4 linked regions of the Caenorhabditis elegans genome follow. The protein of the gene in region 2 interacts with the protein of the main gene of each other region in a pairwise test. Each region holds a gene or a part of one and is shown on either strand. Other genes may lie near its edges. The genes, in order: txt-1, tsct-1, fkh-8 and npr-12.

Region 1 (3,547 bases), on a different chromosome or scaffold from region 2:
TCAGTTTCCCATCCATCTGCGTCTCTTACGCCCGCTTTAACTTTTTCATCTCTCTATTGCTCTCAGAGCTCCATTAATTGCCGCCTGAGGCTTCAGCCAGGCAAGGCAGAAAAGCCGAGCGCTTTCTCCATATTTAGCTGCATTAATGGATTGGGTGATATTATAAAACACATGAAATTGAAGTGTGTGAAGTTGCTAAAAATATTTTTTTAAAGAATGAGAACTACAAAAATAAGAGCAGAGAAATTTGATTAAATCTCATCAATGCATTTTGTTGTTGGCTGCAGCTTAAGATTTGAATGTTATGGCGCCATTCTTGATTAAATTAAACTAACCACTAAACCAATACACATTTTTTAGGCAACAGAAACAATATGTCGTGGAATTTGGAATTCTAGATGAGAAACGGAAACAGAAAAAGAAAAGCCAGAGAAGTGAAAGTGGGGGGAAGGGGAAAACTTATTTATTTTTGTGACTGGGGATTATTATTTGTTACAAAACATTTATTGCTGGAATGGGGCCAAAGTTCAATTTTAATTCTGTACTTATACTTTTTATTCATTATACAAGTTCAATTGATCTTTGGCTGTGCAGTAGTGCTCGGTTGTTGCGAGAGTTGAATTTCTTGCTGAAAAATAATTTTAAAAAATCAATCATGTTAAATCAGGGGTGGACGGCAAACAATTTTGCCGAAATTGAGATTTTCGGCAAATTGACAAATTGCCAGAATTGAAAATTTCCGGCAAATTTGCCGGAAAAACAGCAATTTTTTTGGAAATTTCAAAATTTCAATTTCAATCGGAATCGGCTACGCTCGGCTACGTTTTACACATCCTAAGAATGTTCCTACATCTATTTTGAAAAGTAAGCAAATTCTATGAGAACATAAAAGAAAAAAGAAAAAAACGTTTCAAAAAGGCACAGTTTTAAGTGTTCCTGCCGAAAATCAGTCAAGTTAAATCAGGGGTGGGCGGCAAACCGGCAAATTGCCGGAATTTAAAATTTCTGGCAAATTGGCAACCGGTCAGTTGCCGGAATTGAAAATTTCAGGCAAATCGGCAATTGTTGCCCACCCCTGTGTTAAATTCACAATCTCACTTCAATCATGGTAACAGCATCTGCAGTCTTTGGGCGCACAATGATAATATCAACTTGTCCTTTATCCTTGAGGCATTGCATCAACCGCTTCTTACAATCAATTTTGTTTAAGACGTTTTTCTTGTTAATCTCGATAATCTGATCTCCGTACTTGAGAACCCCGGCTACTAGAGATTCTGAAATGTCTACCAATTAGAAAAGAGTCTATAAAAGTATTCGCTAACCATTTTCCACTTTGCAGACCAGTATACGTTGATGAACAGATACTATTCCAAGTCCGAACTTCTTGCCCTGAGTCATCATCAGTGTCACCTTGATTCTCTCAAATCGGTGATCCATACTCCCAGAGTTTTGATCGTTTTGATCGTCTTCAGCGAGAGTCTGAAGTAGCCATGTTTATGTGAAGAGCATTAATACTCAGGGGTGCGCGGCAATCGGCAATGTCAAAATGAAAATTTTAATGAAAATTTCGGGCAACTGGCACATTACCGGAAATGGAAATTTCTAGCAGATCGGCAAAAAACCGGCAATGTGCCGACAAAAATTTTGTCGACCGGCAATTGCCACCCACCCCTGTCTACTCACCCTATCATCATCCGTGTCCTCAACTGATTTAAGTTTTGAATTGGGCGGTGCAGATCCTGTAGTGCTCATTTTTTTGAAAATAAGAGAAAGAGTTGAAGGAACCACGTTACTTGTTCTGATTTTTGAAATGATTTTATTGAAAGCTCTTTACGGAAAATGTAGACTTCAGTGACGTGGTGGCGTGATCTATTAAAAAACTGGACGTGGTTTTCTATTTATTTTTTATTAGTTTTTGCTTTTTAAACACTCAAAATTTTGATTTAATTTGTGGAGAACTTTAATAAAGAGTATGTAATTTTATAATGGAGTATGATTGGGTCCGGTAGTAAAATAAAGTTGTCTTTTGAATTAGAAAATTCACCAAACGTGACTGTGTCAAAATTTTTTGATAAAACCAATATTTCTCTAAACCTAGACCCACTGAAACTGATGAAATGACTTTACACATGGAGTACCTGAAACTCAAGTTTGAGATCAAGTACGTGATCATTTTCGTGAATAAATTTTCATTATGATTAAAAAATTGTGATTTATCGAATAAATCTACCGGTTGAACAGAAATAGGGCTATGAAAGACAATACAGTCGGCTTAAAGTTCAGAAAATTAATATCCTGGAGCAGTTCTTGGTGGAGGACAATGATCGCATCCACCACCAGCTCCTGGTTGTCCTGGTGGTCCAGGCTCTCCTGGAGATCCAGGATTTCCTGGAGCTCCATCAATTCCTGGGTCTCCTGGTGGCCCTTGTGGTCCTGGTTGGGAACTTCCTGGAGCTCCTGGCTGTCCTGGTGGGCCGATTGGGCCTGGAGGACCTGGTGGACCAGCTGGCCCTGGAGTACCTGGTACTTCGATAACTTGGCCTGGAACACCTGGAGCCCCGGGGTTACCTGAAACGTTTTTCGTTAGATTTTTTCAAATATGCTAATGTACCTGGTAATCCATCGGCTCCCGGTGGACCTTGAGGTCCAGGGGGACCTGGTGGTCCTGGAAGTGCATTTCCTCCTGGAGTTCCTGGAGCGCCTGGTTCTCCATTTGGTCCTTTAGGTCCTTGCTTTCCAGGTGGTCCCGGTGGTCCTGTTGGGCAGTCGAAACAGAAATCTGCAGCAGTCGGGGATTCGTCTCCTACTGCATCTTGTCCGGGTGTTCCAGGATTTCCTGGAGACCCATCATTTCCAGGATTCCCGTCTGTTCCTGGAGCTCCTGATGGACCAGGTGGGCCAACTCCACAAGAGCAGCATGCTCCTCCACCACCACCACCTCCAACTGGAACTTCTTCATTAAATCCGCCATCGTAGCTAGATGCGCCACGAGCAACTGCCCGACGACGATGAGCAAGACGTCCGGTGACTCCATTTGATTTTTGATATGTCGCGCGTTTGATGCGTCTACGGACGCCCGCAACAGATTCAAACTGAATAAAAGAAAATTCCTTTTGATCCGAAAAAAAACTCTTACTTTATTGTACTCGTCCCACAATCCATTTGTTCTGTGTCGACAGAAATCTACCTTTAAAAAAAAGAAATTATAATAATAACAACACGAATTCAGAATAACAAGTACATACTTCAGATTGCAATGCAGATTGAACGTGTTGCATGTAATTGTAGAGCATGGGGACTGCCATTATTGCAGTTAATGTAGCAACAGTGGATATGGCAATTCCTTAAAAGTTCAGGCATTCATTTTGTTACTATGGAGTAAACTCACCGAAAAACGCCAACTTCCGCATTGCATCAGCTTCCTGTGCTTCATACTTTGGATCATCGTGCGACGATTCAGAAGCCATAGTTCTTCTGGAATCGGGAAAAGTTTCAAGTTTCAAGAGTGGCGAAGAAATTGAGAAATTGACGACGAACAATTCGAAAT
Region 2 (4,988 bases):
CAGCCCGTACTTGTTACACTAGTTACTTTTTCTCGAACTTTTGATGTAGCTTAATCATTTTCCCCTTTATTTTTTATGTAAGAGATAGTACTTGTAAAGTGTAAAACGTTATTCAATATATACCAAGAACAATTACACCCATATTCGAAAAAAAATAGTTGGGATTGTGATTTTTCTCTACCTATTTTCAACATTGCCAAATTAATACTTTGATAAATTCTCTAGATATATATATATATATATATAATATATATAGATACATTTGCATGTAGATCATTTTTCTCTGAGCTCCAAGGTTAAATTCCCAATTTGTGCAGGAAGATTTGCCCAAAATACCTGTCGATTCTGTTTTCAGCAAATTTGGAAAATCTGGAAGCATCCAATTGTTTGTTTGCAGCGCAGCCATTGGAATATTTTTATTTTTTAATTTTTTCCAGTCCACTTTTGTTTTGAAATTACAATTTTTGAAGTAATGTAAAAAGTAGAAAATAGCCTTGGGCAAACAAAACTTTGAAACAAAATTTCATTAACGTTTTTGCCCCCTTCCTCCGCCCATTTCCTCTTCTCATCCCATTCGAATTTTACCCCATTGGGAATTTCAATTCTTGTATCAGTTTTGTTCTTTTTTAGTTTTAAGAAAATTGGCATATATTTTTGAAAAAACGTCATTTTGATCTTGCAGAACAGCTCTGTTTTGTTTTGTGTCGGGTGGTACCCTAACACCATCATTCTTTCATTCAACCCATAAAAGCCAGCCGTCACAGAGGAACACATTTGAAAAAAAGGGTTCCGCGTCTTTTTAGCTTTTAACTACCATCTGCTCTCTTCCAAAAAAGGACATTGAGTGCTCATTTAATTTTTCTGCTCATTTGTTGATTGGGTTTTTCTACACTTTGACATTCTTTAAAATTATAATTAAAAATAAAATCTTTAAAAATAAAATAGAAAACAAGACGAAAAACATCCTCATAACTCCCTAAAACTAGTGTTTATCGGATTAGATACACATAGAGACGTTCGAGAAATTCAATTTTTTTATCTCATCGTTTACGTATTTTATGTATTTGCACATGTGCGATGAGCATTATTTATGTTACAACAAACCCGTTTTTCCTCATATTTCATCTTGCCATTCTCATTTATTTTCTTATTTATGATATTTGAAAATAACAGAAATTATTTTTACTCTTAATCAGATGAAATACTTTGCAAATATCATAAATGTTATAATTAAAACAATTGAAATTTTTGTTGCGAATATTTAAAACATACAAAAAAACGAAAAAATAAACATACTTAATGTTCCTAGTGAATATCAAATTTCTCTGTGCGTCCGCAAATGCATCACGTGGTTTTGTTCACAATTTCAATTAAAAAACTTCTTGAACTTTAAAAATATGTGTTCACACATTAATTAATTTTCACAAGATCTGTAACATGGGGCATAATTTTTGTGAATTTACCAATCAATCATTAATATAAGATAGTTTCACGTAAGTTCAACGCAAGTTTAAAAGTGATAAAAAAAATCAAATTTTGCATTCAACTTTGCAAATTTGTTCTCAGGATGAAACTTCTTGAAAATTTCACAAAAGTGTTTTTTCTTTTTCTTTTTAACGGTTGAAAAGTTTAACAAAAAAATACTCAATATAGCAAAATTCTAAAATTTTATCAACTTTACCCTGTTGTAGAAATTGAGATTAAACTAGCGAATTTTTCATAAACGACACAAAATTTCAAAATGAGGTTGTGATTAAATAATAATATTTTTTCCAGTCGCTCCGCGGACAAGTGGCCTAAATTTAAGATTCCTGCGGAACCTCAATTTTTAAAATTTTTTACTCAAATAAAAAGCAGAACCGTTACTCCTTCTTATGGTTTGCGTTTATATCTTCACAACTTTTTTTGCTCTCTATTGTCAATAACGTTGGTTTTACAAGATACAAATAACTTAAAGTTTCAGGGTAGTTACAGCTAAAAGAGACCGCAGCAAGGGATCCTGTCACTGAGAATGTTCATCTTTGCCGCAGTAAGTGTTCATTTTTAAGATAAACCACATGACCTTGTCTCCTTATGATCTGCCTGATCAAACAACCGGCTCTTCGTTGTCAATGACCTCGTGTTTATGTATGTGTTTTGTTTATCTCCAGCACGTTTTCCAAATCTAAACGTTTTTGATGGTTGGTTGAGAAAGAGAAACTCTACGCAATTTTGTTGTCCTTTCGTTTTGCTTCTTCACCGTCGCCAATGTAAAACGCGTGACTGCCGCGAAACAAACTCTAAAATACAGAAATCGTGAGTCAACTGTAATTTTTTCGACGATTTCCTTTCTGATTCAATTCCACATATCGATTTTTAGAATGACACCGATTTGCATGAATTATCCGTACCCCCGTCAGTCTGAACAGCAACTTTTCTTTTTAACTTTTTGATTTCTGTTGTTTAATCAAGTGCTTTTTGCGTTCATAAAATATAAGAATAAACAATAACTAAAATTAGAATTTCTTATTTTTACGTATTTTTCCTTCAACAGCATATCAATTTAATTTGAAAATAATTTGTCTTGTTCAATGTTAGGAATTTCGCAAACGTTTAGTTGCCATATGTACAAAGATATGTATAAAGAATGTGGAACATTTTCTTTCAAAAATTGAAAATAATTTATTCTAGTAACATTTTTGAACACATAAATTTCAAGTATAATCTTGAAATTTTTTCATGTCGTTAAAAAATCAAATGCAACGTAATTTGAAACACCTACATTGTGAGACTTTTGCAGAAAACAAAGTTAAAGGTCAATGAGACCCTCCGAATACGAGTGCCAAAAGTATTCAATTAAATTTCCAGTTTTTACGCGATGAAAAACACCAATCAACAATGAGCCAAAAGTGTGGTGTGCTGCTCTTTTCCAAGCGTAACATTTAAATTGAACTTCTGTTTGAAAAATGAGGAGAGCATATAGAGCCAAATGATACAAAACCACTCTCATGATATTAGAATTTCCGACTCCTACCCCGACCCGACCGACCCAAAAAATGGGGCGACCCACTCCACAGGCCTAGTCTTACATCCCTACGGACCAATTGAAAATTAGTCTTGCATGCAAGAATAATAGAGAAAGCTTCAAAGCTAATTTGTTCAAAAACAATTTCCTTTTTGGATCTTCTCCGCCTTCAAACTCCAGTTCAGAATGTTATGTGTCCAATTTTCTTTTGCACGTTCGCTCAAGAGTACACATGACAACTACATATTATCTTTTTTATCAGTTCGTCATTTGATTTGATCGCTATTCATGTGCCCTTTTCATATTTACTCTTCGCAACTCTTTTGTGAGCACCATTGTTGCAACCACAACTTGCATAATTACTACAGAATCGAAGTTTCAAAAAAAGATTGCATTCTATCTCGCGCTCCCATGCGCTTTTTTCGTTTTATTTGCGATTGAAAAATAGCTTTCCTGCTTTGCGGGCTATGCAGAGCAGTAGTTTTCAATGGTTTTGTCTGGGCACACAGAGAAGCGTACAGTGTGATTGAAAAAGTGGGGTAGCAGCCAGTATAGAGCAAGAGAAATGTACAGCATTCAATTTTTCATTCGTTTTCTATTTTGCTCTTATAAACTGTGACATTTCTAGTGACTGAAAACGAGAAATCGCAGTGTCTTGTTTAAAACTCCCTCAAAATCTTTCTCTCTGAAATAATAATTCAGAAGAATTATATATTTTTCTTTTTGACAATGACTTCAAATATAATCTCAGAAATCTTACAATTCACTGGAATGTCACAGTCATAATCTCGTATTATTTGTATCTGAAATAGACGTTATTGCGCCATGTCTAGGTGGCTTTGTTAGAGAAAATACGCGTTTTTCTTAGCTCATCTATTTTTTTTTCTTCTTGCAAAAAGCTGACTTCTTGTTGCATATTCATTGAACGTTAGCTTTTTTGGCAAAGGTTTATGTAGGATTATTTGTAAGACTTGAGTTTTAAGCTCTAAGAATTTGAAAAAAGGTATGAAAAGCTACCAAGTTTTTCATTTTTCTAGTTACGAAAATTGGCTTTCTCTTTTTTTCCTTCCAAACTAGTAGAAAAAGCACTGCCATTGAAATTAAAAAAAACAGTTTTCAACAATTTTTCACAAAGCGGAAAACTTGAAAAATAAATGCTTTTTTAAGTTAAGAAAATATGTCGTCACAAAAGTTCTTGCAGATTTTGCACTGTGCTTTCATAAAGTTATTGGGCTTTCTTGAACTGTTGTTAGTTGTCCTTGATGTACTTCAAACTTTCATAAATTCCTTTTCCAATTACAGCGTTCTCAAACTATTAAAAAAATATGATTCAATAACTGTCTGCACCATTTAGAGAGAGAGAGAAACTAAGCGTTCCTTTCTTTCCTGAAAAAAAAACAAAGTCTCATGGGTTTACTCAGATGACAAAGTAACACAAAAAAACAGAAAAAAAACTCCAAAGTTTCCGTGCCAAAAGTTGCGCCGTCGTGTCTATTTACTTGACACACTTGCCATCACACTTGAGCAAGTACAGCTGTTCCTCAGCACCGCGAGCACTTTTTCGAGAAAATTGAAATTACGTGTCAATTCATGTCTCCCACAGCAGTTCATCAATCATTTGCTGCATGTTGCGACCAATTTATCTTTTCGTTTTTTGTTCAAATTTGAAACAGAAATTTCGAATAAGGGTTCTTGAGTGTAATCAGTCAACGATTGTGATTTTTAATGCGATAAAAAATCCAGCATATTTTTTGAAACTTATCTTTGCCATTTTTCTTCAAAACAATTTTTAATTTGCTCACCTAACCAAATTAAAGGCGAAAGATGTTTTTTTTAATATAAAAATGTCGTACGTTTTGTTTCCCAAAATACATTAATTCAAATCTATTTTGGTCAAATCGTTGTAACTTTTGTTCATATCTGTCTTGTCCACGGCGCAAAAATGTTATCAAATTTTGCTAATTAGTCATCAACTTTTTTTAAT
Region 3 (4,122 bases), on a different chromosome or scaffold from region 2:
TTTTTCCAGCATCGCTATGTTGGCCTCTCTCTTTTGTGCATGTTGTTTTGTGCTTCCACGATGGCATCTCCAGTTCATCTCCAGATGTTATCGCGTATTGTCAAAGAAACTGTATCTTTAAATATGTACCAAGTATGTTTATGTATCAATTGTCTACTAGCATACTTGGTACGTCTTCAATTTCGCCATCTCCAATCTTTATGACGTTTTTGACATTGGGATTCCTGCCACTTATTGAATTTACGTGACGGAGGTTAACGGGGTTAGACTGAATAATTAATTGCTGTATCAACTCATGAGTACTCAACCAAAAAAGTTGGTGCACATCTGTAGTCAAAAAGTGGCTAGATCGCTCATGAAAATTTGGACACATAGGTTTTTTTTTTCGAATTTGAAATCGAATGCCATTACCAGATTTTTTTTTGGAAAGTACAGGCGTGGCTACATGCATAAACTTGGCGTATAGTATCAGTAAACAATTCATTGAATGTTTACGAAAAATGAATATGAAAATGAAAACTAACTAACAATGTATTTTTGTACAAATGAAATTTGGACACTGTGTGAAAAATATGTGAGTTTTTGAACCTTTAGATTAACAATTTATAGCAATTTATCCCAGTCATACTCATCATCTGAATCATTGTTAACTGGTTGAAGAGTGGCTGAAAGAACAGAATCTGAGGATGAATGACGGCCAGAGTCTGTTCTTGGAGTTGAGACATCACTGTCGCATTCTGCTGGGAATCCATTGTAGACGTAATCTAAATTTTTGGAAATTAAGTTTAAAAATAGTTTCTTTTCATTTTAACCTTTCAACTTATCCGTATCAACTTCTTGAAGTTCTTGTTCATCGTGATAATCAAGTCCAGCAGCTTCTAAGCTTATTTTCAACCAATCGATTTGAGCAGCCTGAAGTTAATAATATACTTTAAGAATTAATTATTGAATTTCCAACACACAAGATCTCTAGAATTTTGCTTCTCAGAACTGAACTTTTTTTTCACTTACTTGCTTCTTCCCATTGGGGGAAGTGGACTTCTCAAAAATTTGATTGTAGACATCACGGAATGATGAGTTTAGATCATATGACTCGAACAAATTCAAATCTCTTATTTCGTGTTCCTGTGAATGAAATAAAATTAAGCTTGCATGAGGGAATGTTTGATAAGATACCGTAAGTTCATGTACATTTCCATTAATTTCTGACAGGAATGGATCTTCTGGCGGAGGAGTGAAATTTGGCATGTCTTGTTTATCTGAAAACAATTATTGATATTGTTGATCAGTTATAATCTTATGTATTACTATGATATAGATGCTCGTAAATTGGATTTACTCGCACTGGGGATCCTTTGAGAATTCGTGGTTTCTTGGCTGGCGGATCTACACAAACCCACCATCCTCCTGTAAAAATGAATTCAATTAAATTAATCATTAAATAATTATCTCACTTCTATCTCCATCAGTCTTCTCAATGCGGCTGAATTGTTTATTTAATGACAGATTATGGCGAATGGAATTCTGCAATTTCAAACGTAGAATTCCAATATCCGGAATAAGGATTACCTTCCAACTTGAATTCCGGTTTTCACGATAGAATTGAAAGTTGTGAGCAATGAAAGAGTAGATTTCAGCAAGAGTACATTTTTTATCGGGAGTATCTTCGATAGCTAGACGAATAAGTTGAGAGTATGAATATGGTGGCTTATCCGCTCCATCAAAAATTCTCCTCCGTTTTCCTTCGTGTGCAGGAGCCACTGGCTGAAATTAGAAAGCAATTATAAAAGAGCAATAGATCTTTCTAAAAACCAGATGTTGACCTCAGCCACATAAATCTAATTCGAGTTATGACGCTGCAGGTGCCACCCTCACCGAAATTGAATTGTATGAAATTACCGGCGTAATTTAATTTCAAGGAAGGACGAAAAAGGCCAGGTCATTTAGATTATGTATTCGAAAAATATATGTAAGTGATGTTTGCAACTAAATTAAAATTATTAATTCTAAAAATATGAGTAGATTTGCAACAAAACATTCAGAGCATAATTGAAAGAGTTCTCTGATTTTCTATGACATTTCAAATATTTATTAAAATTGCCTTTGACGTTTCTGCAGGTACTGTAGGAGATAGGACCAGTGGCGAAACATTCACAGATCCAACAATATTAGGGTTTTCAGGTACTTCGATTTCTTGTACTGTGTTCAGTCCACCTTTGGCAATGAGCCAGTTCAATTGGCACAAGCTTGAGCTTAGATCTGACATCACAAGTGATTGACCTTCTGAAATTAAAACTGTGGATCTTAAAAAAGAGGAGAATCGGTGGATGAATGGAGGAATAATTGAGATTGGAAATGCATGAGGTTTGTGAAAATGGAATGAAGAGGAAAAGAAGAGAAGCGAGGAATGCAGCAAGCAGGTGACACGAAAATCGATGCAGAGCAGGCGGCGTCGTTGGGGCAACCAACAGACTGAACGGCTTCAGGGAAAAAGAGGAGCGAATGTTAGTCTGTGCATGAATGAGTCATAGAATAAGGAGAAGGTGGGACCAACAAGACAACAAATAAAAAAGAAATAAAAGTAAGTAAAAGAGCAAACATCGAAACCTCAACGAGATCCACGACAGAGTGATTCAAACGAAACAAGTCTTGGAAAAAATTCTTATTTTTGGGGTGTTGAGAACGAACACAAAACGTATTCAGGTTTTTCCAGGTATTCTTATTCAGATATGATATTTTTGTAAAACAACATTCATTAGCATGGGAGCCGTAGTAGTTGGGTTACTGTAGCACAAGTTTCTGTGATTTTATGACTCGTTGAATAACTTTGAACAATTTCTTAAAGTGATTTATATTCAAAATTTGCCAAAACAAAATCATGATATTTAAAAATGGACACGTATGGTTTTCTATTCTAAGAAAAAAACGCATGTTCAGTCTATTAATTTTACAACAAAAGTGAGCTGATTTTTGGTGGAACTCGATTGCACCTGACATAGTCATCTTTAAATAACTAAAGTTTATTTTAGAATATTGTATTCAGTTTGACTTACTCGAAAAAATAAATAATGAGTATACTATACCATCAACTCGTTGTTTTTATTTCATACTGCCGGGCCTGAAAAAACATCACTTCTGAGAATATAAATCTAAATTTGGGAAGTTATAGACAACTGCTAGGGGAGAATGCGTCAGAACCCTTTTGAAAATACGCGCGAGGCGATAATTTCTGGTCAGAAGTGAAACAAGACGGCGGCTGATTGTGTGAGAAAATAGAAAGAAAAGGTGCAAAACACGAGAAAGAATACATTCAATGTATTATATCATTCTGAAACTCACTTATATTCATTTGATCATTGATTTCAAATATATGACATAAATCGAAATTGGAAAACATTTTTAGATTTTTGTGCTGCTGAATAACTGTATGTAGTTTTAGAGCGTTTAGATTACAAATCTATAGCCCGTAAGGAAAACATAAATACCGTATTTCCTATATTAATCTTGATTCTTGCACTCTACGGGGTAATTAAAAAATATTGTTGCAGAGATTACAGCTGATTAAAAAAATGATTTCAATTGTAATTCAAATTTTAGAGATGTGATTCCATTCTGAACAAAAAACGTGATTAAAATGAAATAAATGAATTGAGGGCATTGGGACATGAAAATAAAATGCCATCCGCGTGAAACGTCTCATCAGATGAACAACCGGAGTTTTGATTATTTCTGAATAATATTTTGTATCGATTGCCTACGCGAATTTCGAAGGTGAGCGAAGTTTCTAGAACATGACAACGTGGAACCAAAATCACTTCAGATGTCAAAATCAAGGCGCGTGTTTCTCTCAATGCAAGGAGATGATGACTTCTGGGGTAATGGTGATAGATTTGAAGAACACAAGCTGTCGAAGATGAATCGTCGTAAATGTCGTGGTATGATGGACACTGCAAAAGATGATGTGCTAGATGAACATTTTTTCAAACAAAATAACTTGGTCACTCAAGAATTGGAACAGCAAAATGCCAAATCCAATGATATGTTTCGTGAAAGACAGGACTGGAATTCCAGCACTCCATTGGAGAAGATAAACTTGGTGGAGAGTGAGGATCCTGTGACGTG
Region 4 (4,738 bases), on a different chromosome or scaffold from region 2:
AGAATAGAAAAGTAGCGACGTCGGGGGAAACGGAGACGATGGGTCCAAGGTTTCTCCAATTTTTTTGTTGTTTTTTTTCTTGTTGAAAAACAAGTGTCGGATGACTAGTAGATGAGCTTGAAACTAGAATCATACAATGGGAAGTATATTAAAAATATATTAGAGCAAATAATTTGCTTTTGAGAAATTTTTATCCGACAAAAATATACTTCACAAAAAAAATTGTGACACTCGGCGAAGTTTATGATAAATGTAACAGGATAAGAAGATAAACTTAATGCTTAATCCTAAAAATTAGAATTTTTTTAAATTTCTGTACAAGCCTCCTAAAAAATATTTTTATGTGCCGAATAAAAAATAAGCTGTTCCAAAAAACACATTAAAATGGAGGTGGATGATGCTTCAAGATGAGGAACAAATTAGGGCTTCATACCCCCACGAATTTGTTATGAGAAATTATAATGAAATACATGATTAAAATTGAAAAAAAAAGAAAAATTAATATATTCTTGGCACAGATCAAATAAAAAACAATTGACCAAAAACGGGGCTCTTGGAGTTTGTGATTACTGTTCGCTTGAGATGAACTTGCGCATTAACTTTGATTTTTCTAATGTGAAGGTCTACAATTAGGATGATGCTCTTGATAAGCATCATTCCAAAAATCTTCCAAAAAATTCTTTGTAAAAGTGACAAAAATTGACGATTAGTGGTTGTTATTTGCTAACTTCAGCAAGAAATCTCGTGTTCCATTTGATTCGTAATCTATGATTCTAAATCTTTCGTTGCTTCTTTTATTCAATTCCTCTTTTTCAGACTCCATTACCCTAAAAAATCCCAGCGGGGTTTGATGAAGAGACTAAAAACCAAAAAAGAACAATGAAATCCAGATAAGAATTGATTGGAAGGTAAATTGAAATTGAAATATATTTTATTGTGTGCTCTTTTTTTCTTTCTTTTTTATACTCAAAGGTGAAGAGCAAATTGCAATTTCTCTTCCTGCTCATTCCCCCTTCAATTTTTATTTAATTTTACGACAAAATGCTCTCAAAAGGTCCGCGAAGAGCAGGAAGTCAAGAATAAAAATAGAAAATGTAGGAAGAGGCGAAGAGAAATGAATTAAATATTAAAAGAGTCTTCAAAAATTGAGAAGATTAATACTATTGGTATAAGCTTCAAACTATGGGGATCAATTTGTCATGGTAACTAATTAGAGATGCTTGGTACACCCTGGTACTTAAAAACATTTGAATAATAATCAGAAATTATGAAAAATGAATAATTTATTGACGCCAATTGGGAATATAAAAGCTACATTTCTAGAGTGATATTATTTAACTCTTCCGCGACCAAAAATGCCTATTTGTCAAACTTCTTGAAAATGTGTTGCATGAACTGAGATTACAAAAATGCGTAAGGCACAAAAATCAAAAGCTGGAGCCCACGCTAACATATGAGGAAACATTCAGTAGGCAATCATGAGACAGTCAAGTAGTACGTATACGTCTGAAAATGTTACTAATTTTTTTTTTAAACTATAATTTTTCACTTAAAATATCTAGTTTGCTCACAGAAAATGATGACCTGATATAAAATAAATTCTTATCGTCACAGCACTCTTTTGAAACAAAATGTAAAAAAAGAAGAAGAAACGAAGAATAGGAGTCGATTAGCTCTTCTCAATGAAGTACCTCCTTCGAGGTTAGGAATTTGTAAAATTGAATGGGTAAGGTGAATTTGAGTGTGTTTCAAAACATAGAATACACAGGAAATGGACAAGAATAGAGTAAGTAAATGGAGGTGGGTGGGCATACGGAAATGCCAAATAAGACTATTAAATTGTAGGTGGACTCTTGGAAATTTAGCAAAACATTTTGTGAATAAGTTGAGCTTCAAATACCTAAGAATAAACTAACTAAATGATCTGGTCCCAATCAAATATCTATTGATTGCGAGATTTCCAAATTGGCGAAATATTGTCCGCTTGATGGTACAACTGTGTGATGTTATCGCAAAGTTATCACTCTGATCTCGGTACAGTAAAAATTTACAGGTTTCAATCAAGCTTTCAACTTTAAATTCAAACGATTAGGTACAGTTTGACAGCAAGATGATGAAAACTAAAATCTCAAAGCCTTCGAAAAATCTGGTATTTATACGCTCGAAATTTCTACGAAAAAAAACCCATAAGGAACTGGAATTTCGATATGCCAACCGTATCCTAGATTCTTTGGAAATTACTTTTCTGTACAAAAATTAATTTCAAAAATGTCAAACCATTTGTGAATGTCAGTCGACATTTCGTCTAGATGCCAACATCCTGTTTGTACGAATTCAATTTTAAAATTCGCATAAATTTTTTGTTGAAGCACGGAATAATGAAAAGCTATTGAAGAAACATAGTGAGGAAAATCTTGTGCAATGGGAATGGGAAAAAGATGAAGTAGGCATGATAAAAATGTTGAAATAAGGAAAAGAAAAGGAAAAAACAAATCAGATTTGCATAAATGATCAGAAAAATGTATTGAAAATCGAATGTCGGTGTTTGTAAAAAATCAAGATAACATTTGGAAGATGTTTCTTAGAAAGCTTAAATACAAAAATATTAATGAAGCATGGCCCACTTGAACGTTTTTAAGAAGAATTGGTACCCACATCATCAAGAAAAATACGAACAATTCCATGAAACCATGAAAATATTCCTGGGATGACAGGGTTCGTGAGCCATATATTATTCAAAATTGTGGAGGACCATTCTGGTTTTTGTGTTTTCGATTCTTTTTTGCAATTTGCAGGAAAGGAAGTAAAGAACACTTTTTGACCAAAAAAGAAGAAGACCACTAAATGTTCATGTATCTAAAGTTACGTCTTAAAGTTGAAACAAAAACAGCATCGTTGTTCTGCAACGTTCCTTTGATTTGTACACAATTTGAAACAGTTTTATTTTAGTTTATGCTACTGTCTGAAACTTTCTGTCAGAAACATTTAAAAACAACTTACGTTTTGTGAACTGTCATTATAGTGATGTTGCTATAAAATCGGCCTACAGATTCTTTTTAGAAAGATTCCAGATGGTGTTTACCTGTAAAAACAATTAAGATCAGTTTTTAAAGAGTGGTAAATACAAGTAGTATAGAGATAAGGGAGTACAAAAAGTGTACAGATTGAAAAATGTGATTGAAAGTTTTTTGTAACAACATATCAAGCCGCTTAAAAGGTGACTAATTTTTTCTGCCAAATTCAATAACGTGTTCCAAAAAAACATAGAACAGCGCAAAAGTCGTAAAAGAATTAAGTAGACAATGAATGTGAAAAAAAATGTCAAGAGACTCGTGGAAACAGCTCCGGAATGAATATAGTAGTGGAATGAGGAAAGAATCGTGGATATATACTAGAGGAAGAAGGAAAATGTCGTTGCATAATAAATACACCTTTCGGCACATTTGTTTTTACAAGTAATACGACTTTTAAAGATGTTTTTTCTTTGCTGGAAATAGTCACTGCCAGGTGAGTTAGCAAGAAAAAGGGTTCAATATTTTCCTTTATTTTTTTTGTCCTGAAACGTTCGAATATCATAGTTTTAAAATTAGAGAATTATTTAAATTCTTTAAACTATAGCCAAAAAGTGGTGAAACTCAGTTGTCCTATTATAATGTTGGAAAATTACAAAAAAAGGTAATTATTTGGTAATTTTGGAGTATTATAAATATTTTTAAAACGAATCCTCACGGGCGGTACTCCAGCTTTATTCAATCAAAAACATCAAAATAGTTGTAGAAGTTTCAATCTTTTTTTATTGAAAAAAGTTTGAAATTCAAATATTTAATGATGGAAATTAGTTGATTGTTTTAGAAAAAAAATTCCAAGAAAACTGTCAGGCATCTTAAACTTTCCCAACAAAACAATTATAGTTTTATGTAATTTCTAGCATTCTTAAGAACTCACAACAAATCAAGAAAATTTTTTATTTCTCACCTAGTTTCAGAAAGTTTATTTTTGCAGAATATTGCAAGAAGTATTCAAAGAATTACTTCTAAGAAGGTCCATTTCTGAACAAATTGAGTAACGTCTCATTGCTTTTTGGTGGGCGGACGATGGGTTCTAATGTAATTACTGGGTTCACATCGTTTGCAATGAGCACCAGTCGTTAAAATCTTTTCCACTAAAGCTATCGAAAAAAAGTGAAGCCGGAACACGAGATTTTGGAAAAAAATAATGGATTTAGATGACCAATGGGAAAATACGAATTATGAGGTTTTGATGAGTTGAGGAGATTCAGGACACAAAATCAAATCAACATTGTTCGATAAATATTTTTGTGTTTATAAAAATAAGATGAAACAGTACATTTTTTTATTTTCTCAGCTTTAAAAGTGAATACAAAACTATCGATGGGCTAGAAGAGGTTCATTTCAGCACTCCGTTATTCGTTGCAAATTTGTAAATAAAAGAAGTTTGAATAGAATTTCAAAGTATTTTGGCAACTCTGAATCTTAAATCTCAAACATGCGTTCTTTGAAAATAATAAGCTGTTCATCTTCGGAACCAAACTAAATTATATTTTCAGGCTTGGCAATTAGTGTTTTCAAATTGAAAAAAAATAGAGGACGATTTTAAATTCAATTAACAATAATAATAAAATGTTATAAACAGGAATTGCACAGTAGATTCTCAAACAAAATGAGATATTCTTGATCAAGAACAAATTTGTAATATGATCACCGCGAACATTTTAAGT

What was found.
Region 1: the proteins of tsct-1 (region 2) and txt-1 interact in a two-hybrid assay, tested with the Caenorhabditis elegans proteins (one large-scale study listed by BioGRID).
Region 3: the proteins of tsct-1 (region 2) and fkh-8 interact in a two-hybrid assay, tested with the Caenorhabditis elegans proteins (one large-scale study listed by BioGRID).
Region 4: the proteins of tsct-1 (region 2) and npr-12 interact in a two-hybrid assay, tested with the Caenorhabditis elegans proteins (one large-scale study listed by BioGRID).

What each region holds. Positions count from the first base shown.
Region 1 is NC_003280.10:104,463-108,009, reverse strand, and holds txt-1 (PDZ domain-containing protein), read right to left. Parts: upstream 1,822-3,547; 5' UTR 1,753-1,821; coding exon 1,684-1,752; intron 1,480-1,683; coding exon 1,323-1,479; intron 1,275-1,322; coding exon 1,099-1,274; intron 629-1,098; coding exon 572-628; 3' UTR 525-571; downstream 1-524. Other genes in the region: col-68 (Nematode cuticle collagen N-terminal domain-containing protein), read right to left, coding at 2,288-2,568, 2,612-3,092, 3,137-3,187, 3,246-3,343, 3,389-3,467.
Region 2 is NC_003284.9:12,432,143-12,437,130, forward strand, and holds the start of tsct-1 (Protein tsct-1), read left to right. Parts: upstream 1-1,954; 5' UTR 1,955-2,011; coding exon 2,012-2,029; intron 2,030-4,494; exon of another isoform or gene 4,495-4,561; intron 4,562-4,988.
Region 3 is NC_003280.10:6,189,109-6,193,230, forward strand, and holds fkh-8 (Forkhead box protein pes-1), read right to left. Parts: upstream 2,286-4,122; 5' UTR 2,267-2,285; coding exon 2,102-2,266; intron 1,765-2,101; coding exon 1,570-1,764; intron 1,525-1,569; coding exon 1,455-1,524; intron 1,408-1,454; coding exon 1,309-1,407; intron 1,260-1,308; coding exon 1,177-1,259; intron 1,126-1,176; coding exon 1,012-1,125; intron 913-1,011; coding exon 813-912; intron 765-812; coding exon 604-764; 3' UTR 515-603; downstream 1-514. Other genes in the region: cpb-2 (Cytoplasmic polyadenylation element-binding protein 2), read left to right, coding at 3,821-4,122.
Region 4 is NC_003282.8:6,934,632-6,939,369, forward strand, and holds the start of npr-12 (G-protein coupled receptors family 1 profile domain-containing protein), read right to left. Parts: upstream 3,018-4,738; coding exon 3,001-3,017; intron 430-3,000; exon of another isoform or gene 409-429; intron 1-408.